2 linked regions of the Canis lupus familiaris genome follow. The protein of the gene in region 2 purifies or fractionates together with the protein of the main gene of each other region. This does not show direct contact. Links are inferred from orthologs where the notes say so. Each region holds a gene or a part of one and is shown on either strand. Other genes may lie near its edges.

Region 1 (4,344 bases), on a different chromosome or scaffold from region 2:
CTCTTGAAACAAACAAACATCCTGCAACATGGTAATCATGTGCCCTTCTAGGCGGGGCAGACATGCTCTGGATCCTTGACCCCTTGAGGGCCCCTTATGGGTTCATACTACCCCCTGGTCCTGAGAGGACAGCTGTCCAGCCCTTGGACAGATGCTCTTGTGGTTCCTTTCCAGCATACACTCCATTAATGGTCGGCATTGTCCCATGCAGCTACTCCCCCACCCCATCCCCCCCCAAGCCACACTTCTCCCAAGCATCTTTGCACAGAATTCCTCAAAGCAAGACAGTAAAAGGGGACTAATGACCAGTTTCTCACGATCTTCTATGGACTGCAGATACTGCTGCTTGCCCTCTTGGGATTCATCCTTCTTCTTCAAATAAGGTTCAATGGATTTATACTGAGCATAGAAGTTGCTCAAGTCCTGAGTAAGGGGAAGAAGAAGAAAAGAAGGGTCAGATTCTACTATCACTCCCTAGCATTCTCAGTCACCCCATTTCTTGGATGCTGCCCACTTCCCCATCGCACAGCAGCAGAAGTTGGACTCTCTTTGGCGTGGATCCGTGCAAGTGACAGAAGGAGAAATGGTCAGTGTTCATTGTGGCTGGGAAATCTCTCCTCTACCCACTCCTGAGGCCTGGTCCATGAAGGCGCTCACGAGTGGGGAGGCAGACACTGTGGAAGTACAGTGTGGAAGTACACTGTGTAACAATTGTTGCCTTCCCCACTGCTATTTTCCACATGAATTCTTTGTAGTTATGGCCAAATTTTTGATTCTGGGACTGTTCCAACTCTAAAGTCCCTGTTAGTCCCAAACAATCCTCTCCAATGAGGGGCTGGAGAATCTTCCAGGTGTGTTTATCTTCCACCATTCAAATTCCTCAATTAAACTCAGGAAAAAAAGCCTGCCCTAAAGAATGATAACACATCTTTCCCTCACACACACCTCTTCCCTTCTCCCTGAAAATAAAAAAAGGTGGGGTGGGGAAGAGTCAGGAGAGAGAGAGGGGATGGGAGAGAGAGGGGGCAGGGGAGGGATGGGAGGGGAGGCAGAAACTCACAGGAACCAGATCCTTTATCACATACATATGCGGCAGAGGGTAGATTTTGGAGACTTTGCTGAGGTTGGTGTCGATCCGGCGGGTGCAAGCCAGAGTGTTGCCTCCGTTGATGTTCATGGCACAGGAGCCACAGATGCCTGAGACAGAGAAGGCATTCAACGCTTCTGTACCCAGGCTCGGGAAGTCCAGCTTCAGACTCATTTTCTGGAATGTCATTCCCTCATTCCCCTACCATCATGAGCAGCACTGACATGGAGTACACCCGTGGCAGAGGTGCCCCACTGCTGTCTTCCTGCCTGGGATGGAGATCTAATGACCAGTTCCAAAAAGCCATGAGGCAACCCTGAGGCTGGAATCTGCACACTACAGACGGCACTGGAAGACAGAAAGGGCCTGGGGCATTGTTGGCATCACAGAGTTGCCACGCCAATCCCTAGCTCCATGCTTCATGCATTTTCAGAAAAAGAAAAAAAAGAAGAAAAAAAAAAAAAAAAAAAAAAAAAGGCAGCCCTGCCTGTTATTTGAACTCAAACTACTCAAACTCTGACAGACAGAACCCAAAAAGCAAATCAACAGTCTTGGCCATCTTCTGGCTGAGGCCTCGATATGGATTATCCACATATGACTCTTACTCTATAGTCTCCATCAAAACTAGCAGCACAGTGGGGGCCATGAAACCCACATAAACTGCCCGAGCACTGTCTTTCTAGGGAGAAGAATGAACTAATGTGAAAGCAAAGCAAAGCTAACCAAGCAAAAGTTAGGTGCTGACCAAGGACCCTGAAGATGACACTTTTCTTTGCCCGGGCTCATTTGCTGTGTATGGAAATTTCCTAGATATTTTAGAGTTTAAAGAGGAATATGCAATCTGAACCCATTTCTCTGAAGCTGTTTTCTTGAAGATCATCAGACCAGAGAAATGTGATTAGTTGTGAAACCTGTACTGGGTTATCACTTTGGTAAGACCGCGTTCTCTTCTCCTGCTAATCTTAGTAAGTGTGTAAGACAACACAGAGACCTGTTTTTAGCAAATACCGCGAAGTTCCCCAGGAGACTGAATGCTATCCATATATTTGTGTGTGCCTGGCATCCAACCAGAAGTATGCTTTTATAAGAAATGGTATGCAATTTAAAAAATAAATCCAATGAATCTTCTCTGAAAAAGGCTCCCCAGGAAATTCTCTTAAAAAACGATAAGGGAAGAGAAAGGAGTGGCAATTAGTATCACTCTGCCTCATACTTTTTAGTCCAGATGGGCCACATCATATGTTCTTGGCTCTGACAAAGTCTTACGGAGAAAGGTTACTGAAAAGCATCTATATTTCCTAGGTTGCCAGGATTTACGTGGGGAAAGTTGGTATTTAATTACCACAGAGCGTTCCCTGAACAGCAGGACTCAGCCAAACTACTATAATATCTGTCAGCATTTGGTACACTAAATCCCATCCTGTATGATTAGCTGAATCAAAGCAGATGTCTTAGAAGGAAGGCTGGAATACTTGACATGTACCGAACAAAGACAAAAAGCAATGGGCCAATATCCATAGTGACTTTTCCTTTTATGGAAGGTCATTTTAGGAAGAAGCTTCAATCACTGGTTGGGGTCCAACCTACTCTCTGTTTTGGTTTTATCCCAGGTTTTCTGAGCCTGGCCAGCAGAGCATACCGCCTGAGTGCGGTTCTGGAATCTGACAACCCTGGCTGATGCCTGGCTCCCCAACTACCTATGTGTTTTTTTGGAAGTCCCTTAACCTCCCTGGGCCTAAGGTCCACTGACTGTGCTCTACGGCCGTCAGGACCAGTCAGCCCTTGTGATAATCCTCTGTGATTTTTTTCCCATGTCTGAGGACTGCTAAATGATTATCTAGGAGTTTTCTTTTTCTTTTTTTTTTAAGATTTTATTTATTTATTCATGAGAAACACACAGAAAGAGAGAGAGAGAGAGGGGAAGAGATATAGGCAGAGGGAGAAGCAGGCTCTAGGCAGGGAGCCGGACGTGGGACTCGATCCCAGGTCTCCAGGATCATGCCCTGGGCTGAAGGCAGCACTAAACCACTGCTCCACTGGGCTGCCCTATTTATGAGTTTTCTTAGTATCAACTCACTTTATTTAAATTTATATTAAAAAACTGTATCACTGTTAGACTTTCATTAGTAATTATATTTTTCTAGCATAACAGCTCTTACTGTGGGGAGACTGTTCCTGCCTAGAACATTCCTACTGAGCAGATACTTTATATACGTGTACACTCGTAATGCTGGGAGCTGGCAGCGGCACACCTGTGCCCCCTTGCTGGACAAGGGTTAATGTGCACAAGCACTGACTAGAAACTCCACTGCTGTCCCCAGTGAATGAGCTCAGCAGTGGTGCAGAGATGGGCTGCGTCCTGCTAGCAGATGGGAGTTAATGCCTGAGGGGTGGGCAGCTCACGCCAGATGCAGGAACCAGGCTACATATGATTCCCGATGGGAAGAAAACTCAGAAATGTACAGAACCTGTACTACACTTGGGAGTTTTAGGCGCATTTACCCAAGGAAAGGAAGTGCAACACCTGGTCTCCTGGCAGACCGCCAGCTCAGCTGTGGCAGGCAGGCCGGCCGCGGAACCAGAGCCTAAGTGTCTAAAGTTTAACAAGGAAGGAAATGCTTACCTTCTCTGCATGATCTTCGGAAGGTCAAGGTAGAGTCAATTTCATTCTTAATCTTGATTAAAGCATCCAACACCATAGGACCACATCTGACCAAAAACAACAAAACACTCCGGTCATATTGACGGGATGTTCAATCTTCCTGCCCTTTGTTGTAATAAGACCTGAGACATCTGCATATGTCAGCTGCTCTTCTAACCCATTTGGCTTTCTCAGGGCACACTCAGAATTTTTTTCTGTACTTCTGTTTTTATGTTATCCTTACACATTCTAAGCACTGCGGAGTCACACTGCATATACATTTCTAGGAAAAGGAAAGCTACAGGGGTAGAGACAGTCCCCCACTCCTAAGCGCTGTGAGTGTCCATGTGCGTGGGTGCAGCAGGTGGGAGGAAGGGCAGTAGCACTGGCTTGGAAGCTGGAGCGCAGGCCTGGTGGCAGGGAGCCTGGTCTGAGTCCTGGCTTGGACGCTTCCTAGGTTCTTGGCAAACCCCGGCTTCAGCTCCTCACCCACAAAGCAGAGAGCAGTACCTACATCTCATGGGACTACTGCAGGTGAATTAACACACGGGAAGATGAAGGGGGAGTGTCTGCCACATATTTAGTTTAACCATGATCATCATCATGCAGAGTGCAG
Region 2 (3,819 bases):
TTGGTTCAAAACTGGCTCTGCCACTTACCAGCTATGTGAACCTAGGCAAACTGCGGTACTTCTCCGGGTCTCAGTTTCCTAATCAGTAAAAGGCAAGGGGCATATAGGCATATAGTACCGATACACCTTGTCAAAGTGTTAGTGAGAATTTAATATAGTTTAAATAATTTAATATCGGCCAGCCTCGGTGGCGCAGCGGCTTAGCGCCCCCTGCAGCCCGGGGTGTGATCCTGGAGACCCGGGATGGAGTCCCACGTCGGGCTTCCTGCGTGGAGCCTGCTTCCCTCTGCCTCTCTCTCTCTCTCTCTGAATAAATAGTTAAAAAAAATCTTTAAAAATATTTTTAAAAATAAATATCAATTACAGAAAATAATAAAAATTAGGTGACAATATATTAAAATATCTATTGCATCACATACTGCAATATACTGTCACACATTATCTTTTTTTTTTTTTTTTAATTTATTTATTCATTTGAGACCCAGAGAGAGAGAGAGAGAGAGGCAGAGACACAGGCAGAGGGAGAAGCAGGCTCCATGCACCGGAAGCCCGACGTGGGATTCGATCCCGGGTCTCCAGGATCGCGCCCTGGGCCAAAGGCAGGCGCCAAACCGCTGCGCCACCCAGGGATCCCTACTGTCACACATTATCTTATAAATAACCAAATATTTGTTTACTTGGAATAGTGCCTGGCACACAGTATATGTAAACAGTTGTTAGACTGTGAAGACACAGGTGAGAGAGATGAGACAAGTTCCAGAGGCTTTTTGTTCTCTAAAGCTCCCTTTTAGGAAAGAGTTTATTATGGAAAATCTCAAGCATCGAAAGAGAAGAGAGAGGGGTGTTATGAAACGCTGTTACAGTTACAAATATTTTGCCATGTTTGCTTTCATCTTTTCCTCCCACTCTTTTTTGCTTTGTTCGCGCTGGAGGGTTTTAAAGCAAATCCCAGACCTTATTCCTCTAGCGAAGACCTGGATGAGCGTTTGTGATAGAGACGCGCAGCAGGATTCACCGCGGCTTCGGAGCCGCAGCCTGGGACTCAAGCCCTAATCCCCGCCCCTGATCCGCCTCCCCTCTGCAGGTGAACGGGCGACCCGCGCGGCTCCCAGCCCAAGTGTGCGCGGGCGTGGTCGCACGCTGGGCTGAGGGCTCCCGGGTTGTCATCGAGCGGCCCCCCACGCTGCGGGTGCTGGTGGGGCCCGAGGGTGCCGTGGCCTTACGGGCCTCTCCCGCGCTGCGAGGACGCCTCCGGGCGGCCTGCGGGGACTACAACGGAGTTGCAGCCGACGACCTGATGCTCCCAGGACGACTCCGGGGTGCCAGCCTAATCGACGTGTTCCAGGCGTGCCGGGCTCCGGGCTTCAACAACTGGTGAGGACCCTCCGTTCTCCTGCCCGGGTACCTGGCTCACATCGGCAGAGGGCGCGATCCACGTAACTCCCTGCGCCCCACGCTGCCTCGGGGCACTTGGGGGCTCACACCCTCGCTCTGGTGGTCTTCCCACAGCGCCGAGAAGCTGGTTACTCCAGCCGTGACCCAACACTTCACCGGCCGACGCCGTCCCTCTGAACGTCCCCATGGCTAGGACCTCCCGACGCACACCTGCCCTGGCGATGGGAACCCACGGACCTTCCCGAGATTGTTTGAATAAATAACTTAACGACCAAACCTGCTTGTGCCTGTATCTTCCCAGTGGCCCCCCCCCCCCCCGCGCCCCGGGGACGCAAAGTCCCAACCTCTAGTTCCCCGTCTCCCAGGGTCCGGGAGTGAGGTCGGGATCCTGGTCCCTTCCGACCCAAAATCTGACCCCAGCGCCTCGCCCCGCTCCCCCTCCGCGCAGTCGGCTCAAGGACACGGACTCCCCGCGGGGCAGGCCTGGGAACCAGCAGCCCCGCCCCTGAGCCGCAGCGTTGTGACGTAACTGCATCGACAGCCAATGGGACAACGAAGGAGGAGGCGGAAGTCTGGGAGTGCGCGGGCCGGAAGTGCCTGTTGCCGGGCTCGGCCGTTAGGCCCGGGGGCGTCGCTGGGCCGCTGCTCGCGGGGCGTCGCCTGCGGGCGCCCGCGGCCCCGCCGCTACCATGAGCCGGCCCAGCCGCCTGCAGAGGCAAGTTTTGAGCTTGTACCGCGAGCTGCTGCGCGCTGGGCGGGGGAAGCCGGGCGCCGAGGCGCGAGTGCGGGCCGAGTTCCGGCAGCACGCCTCGTTGCCACGCTCCGACGTGCTGCGGATCGAGTACCTGTACCGCCGCGGGCGGCGCCAGCTGCAGCTGCTACGCTCGGGCCACGCCAAGGCCATGGGTGCCTTCGTGCGCCCGCAGGGGCCACCCGAGGAGTCCAGCGGCGCGGGGGCCTCGGGAGCCCAGCCTGACGATGGTGGTGGTCTGAGAAGCCCCCTCGACAGCATGGGGTCACCAGAGACCCCTCCCGATGGGCGGTGACAGGCCGAGGAGCTCACCCGGTAGCACAGGGGAAGCGGGGGCCCTCCTGACTGCGTGGGGGGACCAGGGAACCCACTTGCTGGAAGGGGAGATGTCTTGAGAAGACCAGCTCGATGGATTGGGTGAATTGGAGAGCCCTCCTCGGGACGTGAGGTCCTAGAGACCCCGATGATGGATGCTGAGAGGTGCCTGACCTTGCCCGATCCATGATAACGGGTCGAACTCTCCCCGTGAGGGTTTGGGGCGGCTTGGTTGCCGGCTGGCTGAGCTGTGTCAAGCTGAGAGCTACTTAACCCTAAAGCATGGGGAACCAGGACGCCCGCCGTCAGACAGAAGACGCCCTTCTCCTGACCCCGGGCCCCCCTCTCTTGTGTTTAACTCTGAAAAGAGCAGACTTTTTGCCGAGAACTTTGAGAAGATACCCTGATGGATGGTGAGAAGCCCCGAATCCCCCTTTGGAAAACTTTCTTCCCATTAATTGAGGCAGTCTAGGACCTGGGAGGAAGGGGCTGGGGTATCTTAGCTCCTCTGATCAACTAATGACCCCTCAAGACCTGTACTCGATAGTTCTAATGGGGAACGCTGACTCCTGCACCCTTCTTCCAGGACTGTTGGACAAAAAGAATAAAATTGGGGATGTGATTACTTCCCTGTTGATGGTCTTAAAGATTTCACATGTTTGGGGATTGTTGGAAAGGGCCTCACACACCAGGAAGTGGCTCTCTGGGAGGGATAGGTGTGGAGAGCTGTCTCTTCCTCGCTGGAGCCCTCTAGACTAGAAAATTGGTTGAAGGAGCCTAGTTCTTGCTCCTGGGCAGATCCTTGGGACCTGCCTGGTTTGGGACCACCCTGGTTTGACCCCAAAGAAACCCCAGTTGACCCCCTAATAGAAGGTAGTGAGAGGGGAGAGAAAATGGTGGAGCTGAGGAGACCTGACTAGTAACCCCTGAGGCAGTACTGAGGACCTCAAACCTGGCTGAAGAGTCCAGCCTCAGATACACGCTAGGATCTTTGTTAGCAAGGCCCGGGGTGGGAGAGGAGAGATGGCCCCATAGACCCCAGGCATACCTCCTCCCCTATCCCTGTATTGATCTTCCCTAGACATTCTCTGGGATACTGCATTTTGCAGCACTGAACTGTATTTGCCACCATGTCGGTTACGTAAATGGAAAGCAGACGAATTCTTAGCAAACGCCATTGGTAAGAGGAGGGGAGCCCAGACCTCTGACCAATGAGAGGATAGACGGAAGAGAAACATGACTGCTCTAATCCCCATAGGGGAAGCAGGTGCACCAAGAGTTATGAAATGGAGTTGAAATTTGAAGAATTATAAGGAGTTTCCCAGATGGTAGGGTTAGGCTTCTAAGCAGGAGGACCA

The links. Proteins that work in one complex are often made in the same cells at the same time.
Region 1: the proteins of SDHAF1 (region 2) and SDHB purify together in Homo sapiens (co-immunoprecipitation; 3 studies listed by BioGRID and IntAct, with this or other methods). This does not show direct contact. The link is inferred for Canis lupus familiaris from reciprocal best matches to the Homo sapiens genes SDHAF1 and SDHB.

The regions. Positions count from the first base shown.
Region 1 is NC_049223.1:80,662,866-80,667,209, reverse strand, and holds part of SDHB (succinate dehydrogenase [ubiquinone] iron-sulfur subunit, mitochondrial), read right to left. Parts: intron 3,797-4,344; coding exon 3,711-3,796; intron 1,198-3,710; coding exon 1,061-1,197; intron 424-1,060; coding exon 307-423; intron 1-306. UniProt on the Homo sapiens protein: Iron-sulfur protein (IP) subunit of the succinate dehydrogenase complex (mitochondrial respiratory chain complex II), responsible for transferring electrons from succinate to ubiquinone (coenzyme Q).
Region 2 is NC_049222.1:117,533,370-117,537,188, reverse strand, and holds SDHAF1 (succinate dehydrogenase assembly factor 1, mitochondrial), read left to right. Parts: upstream 1-1,990; 5' UTR 1,991-2,084; coding exon 2,085-2,441; 3' UTR 2,442-3,096; downstream 3,097-3,819. Other genes in the region: IgGFc-binding protein-like, read left to right, coding at 1,085-1,374, 1,510-1,588.